Yarrowia lipolytica: one gene and its partners. The protein of the gene in region 2 interacts with the protein of the main gene of each other region in a biochemical or structural test. Links are inferred from orthologs where the notes say so. Each region holds a gene or a part of one and is shown on either strand. Other genes may lie near its edges.

Region 1 (5,286 bases), about 3.2 Mb from region 2:
GTCAACTCTCGCTTCTCTCCTGGTTGTCTCCACTCAAGTCTAATTAACCTCTCTTTGAATTACGACCGTTATGCTCAACACATGTTCCGGAAATAGAACAGCAAGGCTATGATGAAACCGGGAACTACTTCCTATAAAGAGTTGATCTTGGCTTGGATTGGGTGTGGTTGGCATTGCCCGATGTCGCTATGGACCGAAAACGCGCAAGGAGCTTGGCTGGAGTATGTAAGGGTAGTGGTACGATACGTTGAAGACATACAGTACAGTTATGTATCATCATGTATGAGCATCAAGGGGCAGAGCCGTTATCAAAGGGGGCGGCATATATGTCCGTGAGATTCTAAGACGGCGTCTACGGGCTGCATCAGGTCATGTGGATGGTTGCTCCTATTAGCGGCGAATGGCATTGTTCTAGGGCCTGTCTCGAGGTCTATGTCTCAGAAACTATCGGTATGACGACGGTCCATGACGATGCTGCGCTGAGACTGCAATTTACTCTTTACGGGCGCTTAGCACCCATTGGGTTGTCGATCTGGGGTTATTACGATTGCCAGGGCGACCTTACCTTGTTCGAGGTAACATCTGATTGTGTGAGTATGGGGCTGTGTTTGATAGTGCGCCTGTATCGACTGCGGTCGGTTAACCTGTAAGGTACAGGCACACTGGGGTTGCCCAGTTTTATGAAACCGAGTCGTCCGTATGAAACGGCATGTTCTTTTTGCAGTGAAATATCGCACACGGCGGAATGCGGAATGCAGAATGCGCAATTGGCGGACAAGATCGGTGAAGAATATGAAGCTATAGTAGGTACAGCAGGTACAGCAAGATGCAACGGAATCGTGTGTTGATTCATATTAAACGTCAGCTCACTTGTCGTCTCCAGTCGATCTCACCATCAAAGTGCCCACCCTTTCTCTCCATCTCAGCTGCTGTGAGGAAAAAGCAATAACTCCAGCAACAGTTCAGCCCGGTGCTTAGATCCATACATGCGGAGAGCACAGGCTGAGTCTGCCGAAACTCTGAGGCGAGCTAGAAACAAGGCGCAATTAAAAATAGCGGAGTAGCGTTGGCTTCGTGTTACAGAATGGCCCAACCCAATGGCGTTCAAGCTCCCATTTCCACCCCCTCAGTTGCTTCCAACACTCTTCCACACATGACAATAGACGAGGTAGAAACAAGCTAAGCTACTGTATGTACCAGTGCTCGTACTGAGAATGACACAGAAGTAATATCTGTCGCTGGTGCCATCCTTTGACATAGGCACCCGTTGAGCCGACTGGTCCCTGTCATGTGACGTGGTACCAACCTCTCGGTAACCATGGCTAGAACGCCTGCAGAGTGCCATCACCAATTCTGACTAAACGCCAAGCTCCGGAGCCAAGAAATGACGAGCACAAATTGTCCGAGTTTGCGACCCCAAGACGAGCGGTCATTAATTTAGCCGCGGTGGAGAGTGTCATGACACGGTTTGGAGCATTAGATTAGGCGCAATGAACGTTACGAATATTGACTAACGACCGACGTTACGGTAGCTACTGTACCCCAACTACTACATCAGACTTCTAGGTTGACAACTGATGGTTTCTAGAAGACGTTAAGTGGAGTCGGTGACACATGTAGGCGGTATGACGACACCATTTCATCGGATCCGAGCCTGTGGACCTTTTACTCGCCAATTGTTAGAGTCGCTTTTCCGTGCTTCTAGGACGTCTATTGTCCTGTCGTCAATCTCAACCCTATATGCCCCCTCCCTCAACGTTGTATGGCTTCCACACGTAATCGTTGCACTCTGTTTGCACCCTTTTCCGGGCTTTCCTTGTTCGTCTGGCTTAGTGATTCTTGCTAATTTGCTCACCCCCACACAAGACGGCCAAGACGGGTCCCCAAGGTCACATGGCTCTATTGTGCCTCTATTGTGCGTTAGTCCATCCCTACACCACGATTGTGCCTGACCATCTTGCAGGAAATTGAGTATCTCAGCATCAGCATTCACAGCGGAGAAGAACACACATCACAGGCATCAGCAGCGGCTGTTTGTGTGGCCGTTGCATCCCACCTCCCCTGCGGCACATCTTTTTGTTTCATTTAATGGCTTGTCCGCAACACCTGTTGCACAGCCCTGGCTTTCAGGAACATGTATGGAAGCTGGGCTGTGTGCGTAAGTCTTGCCTTAACTCCGGTTCTGATGTTTTTAGAATTTTTTTTTTTTTTCCGTGTTTCCTGGGAGTCTAAAAATAACACACGTAGCAACGCTGCGAACAACACAGCACGGCTGCGAATAATCCAGTATGGACGGAGAGAGGCGTGCTAGGGGAGGGTCACGTGACACCACACAAGGGGCGAGACATGCAAAAGCACGCACGCCAACGGGCCCGCAAATACCCAAAAAAAACAAGCCAGAATCTCTATTTCAAAACCTACATTGATATCGTACTTGTATTCAAAAGCTACACTTCCGCGCCCCCCCAAATACCATTTTGGATTTAAGGTTCAAGGTCGCGACCCGACACTAAGTCGCATTAAACTACTCACACACCAGGGTCCAAAAAACATCGACGCCACGGAAGAAAGACGTGCCTGGGATTCCCGTGTATATATAAGTCGCTGCCGCCATGTCAAATACCGGAGATCCTCTTCAAGAGGTCTTTGAGTCATTCGACCCCAAAGATTACTATCTGTTCGACACCTCCACCAACCCCACAAAACAGCAACAGGACCCCAACTCGATACAACCGCACCAGCAACCGCCGCTTTCTGGTCTCCCACACAACGTCAACACCTCGGGCTTTGACGACTCCACTTCCATAATCAACGCAAACACCCCCTCCCCGCTTCAGGCAGGCTCCGTGTCTCCACAACCCCAGCAGATGGACTTTCTGTCCCCCCAGGATTTCCGTTTCGCCTCCTTCGACGACCCCCAGTCTTTTCTGAATCCCTACGACCTCCAGACACAGCCGGCCACCGACTTTCTGTTACCCATCTCGCAGCCTGGACACCACCGAGCCAACTCGCACTCCTCAGACACCTCGGCGGCTCCCTCCCCGCAGCAGTTTCATTCCCCGTACGCCGCGTCTCCTGTCAACCCCGACGAATACGCCGCAGAAATGGCAGGATTGCCCGAACTGACCTACGGACTCGATCTCAACGGCTCGCAAAGCATGAACCAGATGAATATGGCAGTATCACCTATGGCTATGGGAATGCCGGATCAGATGAACCAGATGAACCATCAGCAAAACAATCTGAATCCGCCCATCCAGATGAACCACAGCAACAGTCACACCGGCCTGTCTGACCTCAACAACGCTAGCCAGGGTAACCACAATATCAACAATAACAACGGCAACGGCAACAGCAACAGTAGCCACACCCCCGGTGTTGCGCTGTCGCCCTCGCTGCTGACCCCAAACATGCTGTCTCCAAACAGCTCACAGCAGTCGTACTCGTCGTCGCCGCAGACGTCCCAGGGCTCCATCTCGTCGCAGAGCCATCAGTCTATCCCCATGCTCAATGTGGAGCCTCCACGTGACGACCCGTCCCGCCGACGTGCTCACTCCGACGCCTCGCACTACTCGGACCGGTCGTCGACGCCCTACGAGGTACCCACGCTCTTCCCCCACGCCACCTCGTCGCCGTCGTCGCAGGACCCCGCTGACTTGCTGTCTCCCGGCGACGCAGCAAGCATACAGACGCGTCGAAGCCGTAGCCGCTCGTCGTCGACGTCTTCGGACGTGCGGACTCGTGACCAGTCTCACTCGCCCTCCCGATCGCCCAGCCAAGGCGGAGGCAACCGTTCGCGCTCAAACTCTCACTCGCGAGACTACATTCTCGAGCTGGCGGCTCCCACGTCCAACAACAAGCGTGTGCAGAAACACCCCTCCACTTTTGCGTGCCATCTGTGTGACAAACGGTTCACCAGATCGTACAACCTGCGGTCTCATTTGCGAACTCATACTGATGAACGTCCATTTGTGTGCACTGTCTGTGGCAAGGCGTTTGCGCGTCAACACGACCGAAAACGACACGAGGCTCTTCATTCTGGAGAGAAGAAGTACCAGTGTCAGGGAGTATTGGCAGACGGGCAAACTCCGTGGGGTTGTGGACGCAAGTTTGCGCGTGCAGACGCTCTGGGACGACATTTCAAGACCGAAGCCGGTCGGGAGTGTATCCGGCTGCTGCTGGAAGAAGAGGCCAACGAAAAACAGGCGCTTTCGGGCCAGCAGGTTCCCTATCCTGGCGATGGAGTTCCTTCCTTGACTTTTAGTCCGCCTGCTGAGCCTCAGAACGAGCCCCGGCCTCAGCAGCCCGTCATTTTCCCGGCCGCTCTGCTCCAAAAATACCCCGTGTTGCTGAACCACTTGAACGAGGACTAATTGAGGTCTTTCTGTGGTATTGTTCAGCTGATGTTACTTTTAGATCCTCCTAGTGGGGTGCTATTTATTGTATATGTATTCTACATTCGTTTCTACTCTGTGTGGTAATTACTATTTGTACCGCTACAAGTACTTGTAATTAGTGGTCTGCATAGTTGTGATAGTGCGAGGTCATCGCATGAGTGAATTGTATCGACGATAAAATTATGCTATAAATATCCATTCTCGATCTACAAGTAGCTAGTGCATGACCGTTGAGAATGTGGAGATGACCGTTAGTGTGGGGGGATGGGGCCATTGTCGATCAGTCGATCTACAAGTAGTCGGCTCGATTCGGTGCAGGAGCTGGGTGGTTACTACAGCAGATCACGGTTACAAGTACGAGCATTGGAGTCTATGGATCTACAATAATATCGTTAATTAATAAGATGTGAGATAATGAAACTCAATCAGTTGAGAAATGGAAGAGGTGAAAAAGAGCGTGGCGGTATTTGTGTGAAGGGTATGGTGAGAAATGGTTTGGATATGGCTTCTTCTGTCTGAGTGTGATTTTTTGACCTCCCCACGGAAGTAGATATCAGGTTTTAGACTGCACCGGAAGTGAGTATACAGCATCTGCTACAAGTGGCACAGTAATACCTGTACATGTACTGTACTTTTAGTGTATCTTGAAACACGATCAGGACCTACTTGTACTTGTAAGACTGTCTGTCTAATTCTTTCACAATGTACGTAACTCTGGTCAAATCACATATGCTTACAACAGGAGCCTCGTTGTTGTGAGATTGTCATGTGGTGAACTACAAGTAAAAAGGCATGTTGCATTAGCATGTGTATCGTTTGGGTAGTTCGTAATTTTTGTCAAGATGAGTGGTTGAGAAGCATCTCAGTCGTATGGATATGACTTCACATG
Region 2 (4,321 bases):
GGCGGTAGAAAACGGGAGGGTCGGTAGGAGACTGTAGGAGGCCGAGACCGTTGAAGACCGTACTCATACAAGTTTCCAATATATCAACACAACTCGTAATTTACTCGACTTGTACTCGCTCACTCACTACTCACTCACTCACTGGCCGTAATCGAACCGACAACCTTACATAACCCTACCTGTCCAGTCTGTGATATCCTCTGAGCGTACGACTCATCCCACCCAACCCTCTCCCACAACTTACCCTGCAGTAGAGCCCATGTATAAAAATTGCACCGCCGAACACCACTTCTCCCCATCATAGCACAAGGTGAGTACTCCAGGAAGCCCATCATTTGATGATGAAACACTTACTCAGCTCACTCAGAGCTCTGCAATGCTGATAACCTTCCTAACAACGCAACAATAACCTGACCCTTACCAGAAGCAAGTCGTGGTTCTGTAAACACAACTAACCCAGTCTAGATAGGTAATTGTCATTACTCAAGAGGAGCTGTAGACTGTAGAGTATTGGTCGTATTGGTCCATGGTCGATGATGAAACAAACATCTGCAAGTCCTAGCAATGGTCGCAAGACTGAAATGCGGAAAACTTGTCACAAACTTTTCTGAGGCTTCAAAACTCCGACTTCGGTCTTGGTCTCGCACTACCCAATCACTCTTGCTCTCACTGTTGATGTGCTCTGTTTTTTATGATCTTTCAATAATCACAACACAATTTAGTTGACAATTACTTGAAAAATTGAACCCAAACCACATCGATGGCCATAGTCAAGTATACAAGTCCATCACACGAACACGGCCGCCGTGGCAGGCAACGCCATGTGATTGGAATCAGTCACGTGACCTCATAGAGACAATGCACATGATCTCACAGCTACCACCAAAGTGCACCCAAATTCACCATGCACCCAGCCTGGACCCAACATCCTCCTCTCGACAACGTCATATTATGTGCACGTGACTCATGTAAGCGACTCCTATTCGTTCCATAGAGAATATCAGGTGATCGGACAAATCTTCCTAATCAAAATGATACTCTGAAAGCGCAGTTTCTGTTTCTACCACTTTTTTTTCTGCATACCACCGGTTTCCCCGTTGTTTAATCTTCCTGTATCTTCACCATATTTACTTGATATATAGTTGGGTTTGTTGAGTCACAAATGAACAACCATCTCACTCAGTCAATAATGATCCTATTATTGTGTAACAAATTTCGTCACAGTCCTGATCACGTGGGGATTCAGATGATACCAGTTATGACATGAATCAAATAAATAGAGGCTACATAAGACCGAGATGTTTTAGATAGCGAATGTATGTACATACTGTACATATGGTACAGACATGAATGTAAGTTCAAGTCACGTGCAATTCACGTGACTTTCATGTTCAACTCGTGTGTATCGCGTGACTCGTTTTTCCGGTAGATCCTGGAGTGTTACATGGCTATTAAATAGTACGGCGATCTCTCTTCACTATTTTAATACGGCCCATTCCTCTCCAATACAACTTCAGACTATTGCACCACTCAAACACGACAATCTATTAGTGCTATCCTCCTCCTTGTTAATTCTTTAGCCTGTGAAGATCCAGTAACAGTAGTTGGGTCGGTCTTCCAGTGGTGCTTTAACGGCACCTAGTGCCGGCACTGGCAGGAAGCAATGATACTTGAACCCATGCTCCCACAGGTTTTGCGGTTGATGCAGCTTACTGATGGTACTCGGCAAACCAAGGATGCTCAAGACTCTGTCTAGCCGTGATTCGGTTCTCCGGCTTGAGCTGCAGCAGCGACAAGAGCAGATCTAGCGCCACGTTATCAATCTGGGGGATGATGACTCGGAGGTCCTGGGGAGCATAGACCTGGAAGTTGGATCGGTAATTGGGCAGCGACGAGATATTGGGCCACGTGCTCTCGTTGGGCGTGCCCATGAGCTTGAAAATGTGTTGCAGCTGGTCGTCGTTGGAAGATCCGGGGAACAGAGGCCGGCCAGTGAACATCTCGGCCATGATGCAGCCTGCAGACCAGATGTCGATGGAGGTGGAGTAGGTTCTGGATCCAAGGAGCACATCCGGAGCCCGGTACCACAGCGTCACGACCTCGTTGGAAAAGGTGTTAACGGGGATTCCAAACGCTCGGGCCAGACCAAAGTCAGCCAGCTTGAGCTGTCCCTTGGCGTTGATGAGCAGGTTCTGGGGCTTGAGGTCTCTGTGTAGAACCCGGTTGTCGTGGCAGAAGAGAATGCCACGGAGTAGCTGGTACATGAACCACTTGACCTGCTTGGTCTCCAGCGCGCCCTTGTTGCCATTGGTGTCCATGAACTTTTTGAGATCCTTGTCCATGTACTCAAACACCAGATTCAGCTTGTTTTCCGTGTGGATCACGTCGTACAGCGTCACAATGTTTTCGTGCTTAAGCTCCTTCATCAGCGAGATTTCTCGGATGGCCGTGGAAGGCGTGCCCTCTTCACTGTCCAGGTTAATTTCCTTGAGCGCCACAAGCTGGCCCGTGGTTCGGTTGCGGCCCTTGTACACCGTGGCGTACGTGCCTTCTCCGAGCTTCTCCAGCTGCTGGAATTGCGATGACGTGTTCATTGGTGGTGGTGGTGGACGACTGTGTGTGGTGACGACTCAGTTGGCAGCTGTACTTGAGTTTTAGATGTTGACGACGTGCATGGAGCTGGTTGGGACAAGCAGTAGAGCAAACCGTGAGCAAAGGGGGAAAACCACAGGAGACGGACAAAAGGGTCCGAGTGGTAAAAAAGAAGAGAAAACAAGAAGGGAAAAAACAAGACCCCAAGCACATCTATATATATATATATATATATATACCCCCACAGCTCTAAATTGCTCTCAAACTGGACCGCCGAAATCCAGATCCATTTTTCACCAAATGCACCATCACGTGTCAAGAAGTATAAAATTACTTGAACTATGAGTCAGCGGAGGTAGGAGAATGGTTCATTGTAGATGATAAAATAAGGACTTATTTGAGTCCAAATTCACGCCAAATGGTACTGTAGTTGCTTCTCACGTGATTCCAATTCTCCGCGTGTTTCTGGATCCATTTCAACCCTACTTACAGAGTCGTCCTGTACCCCCATCAAATCCAACTAATATTCACTATTTACTTAACGGATTACTCGACAACATAGAACAATATTCCAAGGTCGGGTTTCGGCCCACGTGACATCTGATCCCTAAAGATCCGGTTTGAGTTGTATGTTTCGGATGACTCAATGGTCCTCTTCTTTCTCTTTCCCCCACGAATGAGTCATAACCTGTCTTTCCTGTTCGGTTGTGCGGCGGCGGTGACTCTAGGCGGGGTGAGTGGTGAGGGGTGGCTTGAAATGCTCAAAAGTGGGTCGAATTGGACATTTGAAATTCCAGTGGATTTCTCGTCCGATTGCAATCATATTTATGTAATTATTTCTTCACAATTCCCACTCCAACACCCACAGAGTCCCCCGTTTGCTCTTCCTTCATGTCCCCCTGGCGCATTAACTTTTCGCCGTGCATCACAATGGAAAATCAAATCAGACAGAAAAACAATAGCGACCCGTTTGACCCTCTACCAGTCACGCCATGTTCACACCCACCGATATCAGCGGCGAGCCGTCCGCGGTCGGCACACAATGGACGCCGTATCTGTCGCACCCGGTCGACTTTGGGGCCCAGCACTTTCTCGAGGCCATGCTCAACGTGATCAGCCAGCCCAACATCAACTCGTCGGTGATCATGAGAGCCGATATCATTTCTGACTCGCTCAACATGATGCCGAACATCATGGGCACGGACAAGGCCAATGAAGGGTTCATTTTCGATACCCATGAAGGACCTGTCGACGACGACAAGAAGGATACAGACAAGGACAAGAACACTCCAGTTCCTCCGAATCTGCAGGATTACGAGCCCCGACAAGTCGAGGTGACTCCCTGTCCAGTCAAACGAGTCATTGTTCGTCGAATCATCCCCCGAAACCCCCAGAACGACTTTTCCGTCAACCAAACATGCATCGTCCACTCGGACAAGCCGTTGTGGGACTCTGACGGCAAAGAAACGTCCGAGGGCGCCAAAATCGCCATTTCCTACATTTCGCACCACGACCATCCCAAGTCGTGTCCCTACTACCTGCCCTGTGTCAAGGCCGTATTGCTGTACTTTGACGGAAGTGCCATCTCCGTCTACTACGAAAAGTATACCGACCACGAGCTCTCGGCCGAGCAGGAGGAACGATGCGGTCGAATTGCCCTGCATCTTCTCCACACTGTGTTCCGCCACTCGTCGGGTCAAAAGGCAGGCTACAAGAAACGGGTGCATCA
Region 3 (6,142 bases), on a different chromosome or scaffold from region 2:
TTCTACGACTTCTTCCAAACCCATCTCCAACAGACTCTAGAGAAACACAGCACCAAGGAGTTTGCAGATATCCAATGTCTGGCATTGGGCAAGCCTGCAGAGGACGAAGGAGTGCGATACCAGCTGGTATTGTTGCTTTTGCTGGCCGAAGAGCTCAAGATCCCTCTGGACAAGGTAGTCTGTACAGAACCTATGTTCACGGCTCGAGATGAGGAAATGCTCAAGCTGTTAGGAATGAAGACCGTGACAGGGATGTGGGATCCTGATTTCAGAACGAAGGATGTAGAGGAGGAAACAAAATCTGTGAAATCAGATACACAAAAGGCTGACATGGAAGACACAACAGACATAGCCGCAGAATCTGGTGACATCGAAGATCTGACCAAAAGCATTTCCGAGGTGAAACTTCAGCCGACAGAGTCTTTCATCTACGCACCTCATGCACCTGTGAACGTCAATGAACTGCTCTTCATCAATGCAGACTTCATTGTGGCCAACTATCTCGGATCCTATGACACTCGGTTTGGAGATGACGAGTTCAAGCAGAAGTACCCTGCTCTGAGCACGATACTACAGTCTGAAAAAGACCTGAAGTGTGAGTGGGAGATGATCGAGATTCCTGATAAACTGTCCAAGGGCGAAGCTTGGGCTGTGGCGTACAATGGATTTGGTATTCATCGAAAGGAGAGAAAGGCAGCTGCAGCGGAGGAGAGGGAAGAGAAGGAAAAGACGCTGAAGGAGTAAGGCAAGAAGGAAGACAAGGCATAGATGTAGTGAGTCAATTATTTATACGATCTTACTTATTACTACACAGGAGCACTCACACAATAAAAAATGCACTTAATATACAGTTAATCTAACATCAACGTAAGTAATAAGAAGCTCAAGGGCAAAAAACAACTCTGAGGCTCGTTTAAGAAATGTTGACGGGAATAAACTTGGAAGGCATGGACACCCGGTTGAAACGAGTCTGCAGCTTGCCAATGACCAGATCCAGGTCCAAATGTCGAGTGAGACCGACTCGTGGAATACAAGAGATGCAGTGCTTTGAGTCCAGCTGAACATCCAGAGGAGACTGGGTGTTGCATCCAGGCGAGATTGACAGTCGAATGGAGTACTTCTTCTCGCCATACTCATCCGCCTCTACACTCTCATATAGCTCAAAAACAATCTGGGTTAGGTAGTCCAGCTCGGGAATCACGTTTCGGGCGATTCGGGTGTTGATGCCGGACTCGTAGATGATGTTGAGCAGGGTGTAGATGTGAGATTCCTTGGTGAAGTAAGCAATCACACCTCCAGTCTCGGCCTGCTTCATCTCGTTGAGCTCGGACAGAATCTCCTTGAGCAGAGGCAGACACGTCAGCAGACCAATGTCCAGCTTCTCCTTGTCCTCGATACCGTACTCCTGGGGACAAATGAAGTCAAACAGAATCTTGGCCAGTCGGTACAGCTCTCGAAGATGCACGTACTGGGGGCCATAGAAAGTCTGCTGGGGCGACTTGCCGTTGGAAGATGTTTTGGTTTCGTCGTCACTTGTAGGCGTAACAAGAGGAGTCTTTCCAAGAGAAGACAGCTCGGGAGCAGAGACGTTAGGGATGTGGCACGAAGGGGGAGCAATTTCGACACTCTCATCGGGCTTGAAGATTCGCTCGAGGAACTGTCGGTTATGCAGTGCATCGAACTTCATAGCGTCATATAGCTCGGAGATTCGAGAAGGGTCGACCTTGTCGGGCGAAGTGAACTCGGAGAAAAGCTTATCCCATCGCTCTCGGAACAAGAAAGGGGTCTCCTGGCAACACCATCGAGTCTGAAAGGCTTCAACCTCCTCGGGAGTGTGGTTGTTGAAGTTTCTCTCCATGACCTTGTGGTGGTACTTCATGAGCTCGACGACCCGCTGCAACACAATGAAGGGCTCGGGAATCTTGTCGGGCCAGGTGAAATGAGGGGGAGGTGGGGTTCCCTTTCGCAGAAGAGGCTTAAGCTCCTTCTTGACCTTGTCCATGAGGTCCTTGGCGGCGTTGGAATCATCAAGAAGACCCTTTCGAACAACAATGAAGTCGTCAGAGACCTCCTCAACACCTAGGAAGGCAGCTGCCCAAATCTTGGCACTGGCAATGACTCGTCGTTCAGAAGATGAGAGACACTTGACATTCTTGAGCAGGTTCTTGTTGACAATCATGAGATCCTGACGCATCTGGTCACCCATGTCCTGGGCCTGGTATCGAGCCGAATGAGTGGGTTCTCCTCCCCACTTGGCCACTAGTTGCACCTTCTCAACCTCGCCGGTGCTCTTATTGATTGTGGGCTTGATCTGGACCTTGGTTCCGGGGAAATCCATCTTCTTCTCCAGAGCAATGATCAGGTTAGCCATCTTCTGAGGATCCTCGTCAGTAGCCTCCCTTGTGGCCCGTCGAGTAGTCTCAAGCACCTCCATCAGACGATCCTTCTCTCGGTAAAGAACCTCCTCCTTGTGACCCTTCAGTAGATCAATGAAGAGAGGATGCTTAAATGAGACCTTGATCTTCTGCTTGGGGGTTCGGTCTGCGTGTCGAATCACAATAGCCTGGCCCTTGAGAACCCAGGACTGGTGCTTCTCGGGCTGAGGAGCAGTGTTAGCGATGGCTCGGTCCTTGTTTCGCTGCTGCTTAGCCTGCAGGAAGATCTGTCGCAGAATTCGGGCGCAGTTGTCGTAATATTCGTGGTTGTCCTTGACGAAAGAGAAACCGTTAACATCAATGACATACGACTCACCTTGGGCACGCAGCAGATCAAAACCGCAAATAGTCTGCTCAAAGGTCTGAGAGACCTTGCTGGCAAACTTGATCTCCTCGTCAGTCAGCTTGGTCACAAACCGCAGCTCCTTGCCATATGTGTTCCGTCTGACAATACCGTCGACAACGGGGGACTTTCGGGTCTCAGCGTGACAGTAATGGGCTCCAACAGTGTACGCCTTGACATCCTCCTTGTTTTCGGTGTCCATAAACTTCTCGTAAATGTACGAGCCGTCCATCCGGACTTCACAGAGATCCTGGTCAAATTCTGAACTCTTGTTGCCGACCTTTCGGAATAGTCGTCGACCTCCTCCTCCCGACGACTTGGGGTAGTAGACGTAGATGTTGTGGTCTTCTCCATCCACGGGCTTCTCGACGAACGGCTTCGTCATGGTCTTGCCATCCACCATGACGGTATCCTCGTCAACCATGTGACATTCGGACTTGGGCTGGGGAGTCAGGATGACATTGTGTTCGGCCAGCTTCTTGGCCAGGTCAGGGTCGGCCTTTGCGCCTCCGTCTCGGGTGCAAATGAGACGAGGAGGGGTTTGAACATTGGCCGAGTCGAGCAGGTCAAGCACGATACGTCGGTCCCACAGCACTTTTTGCAGAATGAGGTCATTGACGAGGAAGGGTTTTCGTAGCTTGACGTAGGAAATGGCCTTTTCGAGGGGAAAACCGGATGAGAAGAAGGAAATGAGAAAGTCACACGTGGGCCAGTTCTCAATGGGCTCGTCCAAAATCACCTTGTCTCCAAAGACAACGGTTTCAAATTCGCCCGTGTCCAGCAGCCTGTTGAGAATGTGCCGACATGGCTTGGATCGGGCCTTGACGTCCATCGCACAGACACCAATTTTGCCAATCTTGGGAAGGTTGGACAGGTCGGGGGTACCAGAGGCAGCTCTGATGCTAGAGAAGGAAGAGGACCGTCGGGCTCGGCCCTCAACAGCAGCCTTTATTGACGACGTGGAGATGGACGAGTCCGAGGGCTCGTACGAGGATGCGGGGGCCGAGGCCGACACGGTCGGAGACGGTTCTGAACATTTTTCCACGGGGGGGGGTGTGGTGGGTGGTGTGAAGATGTGTGAGAGGTAGACCCGATGTCGACGAGATCAGCTTTAGGGTTCAGACTAATGCTGCGCTCGACAATTGGGAATATCGAAGCAATGATTCTGGGGTGGAGTTTGGATGACAAGGAGAGGGGGTAGAAAGATGAAAAAAAAAGAAATCGATTTCAAAGGAAGTTTTACAGCGATTGACCTTTTAAGATCCGACATCGGTCTCTGGTAAAACAACTTTTAATACTCCCGTTTGTGCTGTTCGCTGCTTATGGTTTTGGCTAACACCAGATGCATAGGCAGCGTGGTGCAGCGAGCCATTCTACTGGACTGGAGCTACAAGCAGCTGATTGGGAAATGTTCTCTGGCTGTTTTTGGAGTGGTAAAATTGATTAGACCACTTGTAGTTATTCTTTTGTTTTATGAGTGAGTGACGTATACTCTTGGCAAGCCACCCCCATCTGAGTTCTTCCGGTTATCTACTGTACGATACCGTCTCCACAGCTCGATCGTCTATGCAGCAGCTTCGCCTTGTTTGGTGGGTTGATATAGCATAGCACAGAAGACCTTAAGCCGATATATACTGGGTGATATCGACAGATTGAGATATAGAATGACCAATTCTCAGTCTGTCTCCAATTCAATAAACTCCCACCTACTATAATACCCCACAATAGTGGCTTTACAGTCCCCTCAATCTACTCCATTGTATCTATCCACGTGCTCGCTATTGTGGAGCCAAAGTTTCGTTGCCGCTCACATGCAAAGAAGACAGACGTATCGTGAGCGCAAGGCCAAATGTTACAGTGGTGTAGAAGGAGGGCTCTATATAGACAGTGTCGGCATCTCAAGTTGCTGGGTCGCACACATCCCGTTGTTATTAATCGTTTCCACCAGTCGTTCCAATTTGGATCTTCCGATATAGTTTTGCACGTCTTACTTAGAAGTAATTGTTACGAGCACACTTGTAGTGAGACAGAGCACTGTAAGTACCATACAGTATGATATACAGTATGTACTTATTTGTACTTTGAGTGCTCTATGTGCTACTTGTAGAATATATATATTATATAATATATATATATATATATATTATATATATAAAGCCTTTCGGATGTTTCAGAGTCGAGTGTCCACTACTGATGCTAACAATGCTACAGAGCTGCACAAAGAGGAGCATTATTTTATTTTATTTTATTTTATTGTATTTTATAAACACCACCACAAGTAGTACTTATTTTTATAGTACGTACGTACATTTTTCATAGACAGTCCTTCAAGTACCAACTAAAAATCCAACAAAAATTTCCCTTCACTTGAAACCGAACTCTATCGCCCAACTTGAAAATATAAACAGAACCAGTTATTTCCACTATCACTAAAAAAGAACACGAAGAATACTCTCGGTATACTTCTACTATCATTTCTGCATCTCATCCTAACTTCTTACATATCCTCATATACTGTACAGATTATGACCCATCCAAATAAACTTCTGGCATGCACGACCCAAATATTTTTTTCCAAGCTGCATCACACAAATCATAGCGTTCCGACACCCGCTCTAAAACGATGCCTGCGATTGAAAAAAAGCGAAGAGTGGAGTCTGACGAGGTCACTGTGCGTGACAGACTTGTCGGAACCCCCTCTAAGATCTTCACGCCTTTCAGAGTGAGTACTACACCCCCATCACTACACCCAACATCACCAAACTAACACAGACTATTGGACATGTTGCCAACTCCACACCTATTTCCGTGTCATCTTTCGGCCGAAACTTCCTGGTTGCATGCAGTGTGGGCCGAGCCGTTCAGATCTACGATGTTTCGACGCTCCATCTCATGTTTGTAACCTCTCCTCAGACCCCCGCGCCCATCCAGTCGCTTCATTTCCACCGACCCTACGTTTATGCCACCTGGGACAACTGTATTGGCGTCTACTTCCGTGGTAAGCTACTGTACAAGCTGGAGTGCGACACCAAGGACAAGCTAGTGTGTGTGCGATCTTTCGGAGAGAACCTGGTGGCCATCAACAGCTCACAGATCTTTGTCTTCAAGCGAGGCCAGAAGAAGGAGGAGCAGTCTGACGACGAGGACGAGGAGGAAGATAGAGACGAGCTGGACCCTCCGTTTGAGTATTACACCACCGTGACTCTCGCCAACTCTGTGGGAGCTGCGCACTCCATCATCCATCCCCCCACCTACCTCAACAAGATTGTGGTGGCAACTCGACGGTCTCTATTGCTGGTGAATATTCGAACAGGCAAAGTTGTTTTCTCCACCAACGAGATTGGATCTGACGACGAGATCACCG

The links. The genes of interacting proteins can lie anywhere in the genome.
Region 1: of the proteins of YALI1_D33418g (region 2) and YALI1_D01739g, one has a biochemical effect on the other in vitro, tested with the Saccharomyces cerevisiae proteins (2 studies listed by BioGRID). The link is inferred for Yarrowia lipolytica from reciprocal best matches to the Saccharomyces cerevisiae genes PHO85 and CRZ1.
Region 3: of the proteins of YALI1_D33418g (region 2) and YALI1_B17927g, one has a biochemical effect on the other in vitro, tested with the Saccharomyces cerevisiae proteins (2 studies listed by BioGRID). The link is inferred for Yarrowia lipolytica from reciprocal best matches to the Saccharomyces cerevisiae genes PHO85 and VIP1.

Annotation. Positions count from the first base shown.
Region 1 is NC_090773.1:171,377-176,662, forward strand, and holds YALI1_D01739g (uncharacterized protein), read left to right. Parts: upstream 1-2,612; coding exon 2,613-4,373; downstream 4,374-5,286. Other genes in the region: YALI1_D01713g (uncharacterized protein), read right to left, coding at 49-174. UniProt on the Saccharomyces cerevisiae protein: Involved in the regulation of calcium ion homeostasis. Binds to the calcineurin-dependent response element. Transcriptionally regulates PMC1, PMR1, PMR2A and FKS2.
Region 2 is NC_090773.1:3,339,124-3,343,444, forward strand, and holds YALI1_D33418g (uncharacterized protein), read right to left. Parts: upstream 2,595-4,321; coding exon 1,710-2,594; downstream 1-1,709. Other genes in the region: YALI1_D33397g (uncharacterized protein), read left to right, coding at 565-721, 776-963; YALI1_D33428g (uncharacterized protein), read left to right, coding at 3,585-4,321.
Region 3 is NC_090771.1:1,790,222-1,796,363, reverse strand, and holds YALI1_B17927g (uncharacterized protein), read right to left. Parts: upstream 3,611-6,142; coding exon 914-3,610; downstream 1-913. Other genes in the region: YALI1_B17964g (uncharacterized protein), read left to right, coding at 1-744; YALI1_B17908g (uncharacterized protein), read left to right, coding at 5,402-5,500, 5,551-6,142. UniProt on the Saccharomyces cerevisiae protein: Bifunctional inositol kinase that acts in concert with the IP6K kinases to synthesize the diphosphate group-containing inositol pyrophosphates diphosphoinositol pentakisphosphate, PP-InsP5, and bis-diphosphoinositol tetrakisphosphate, (PP)2-InsP4.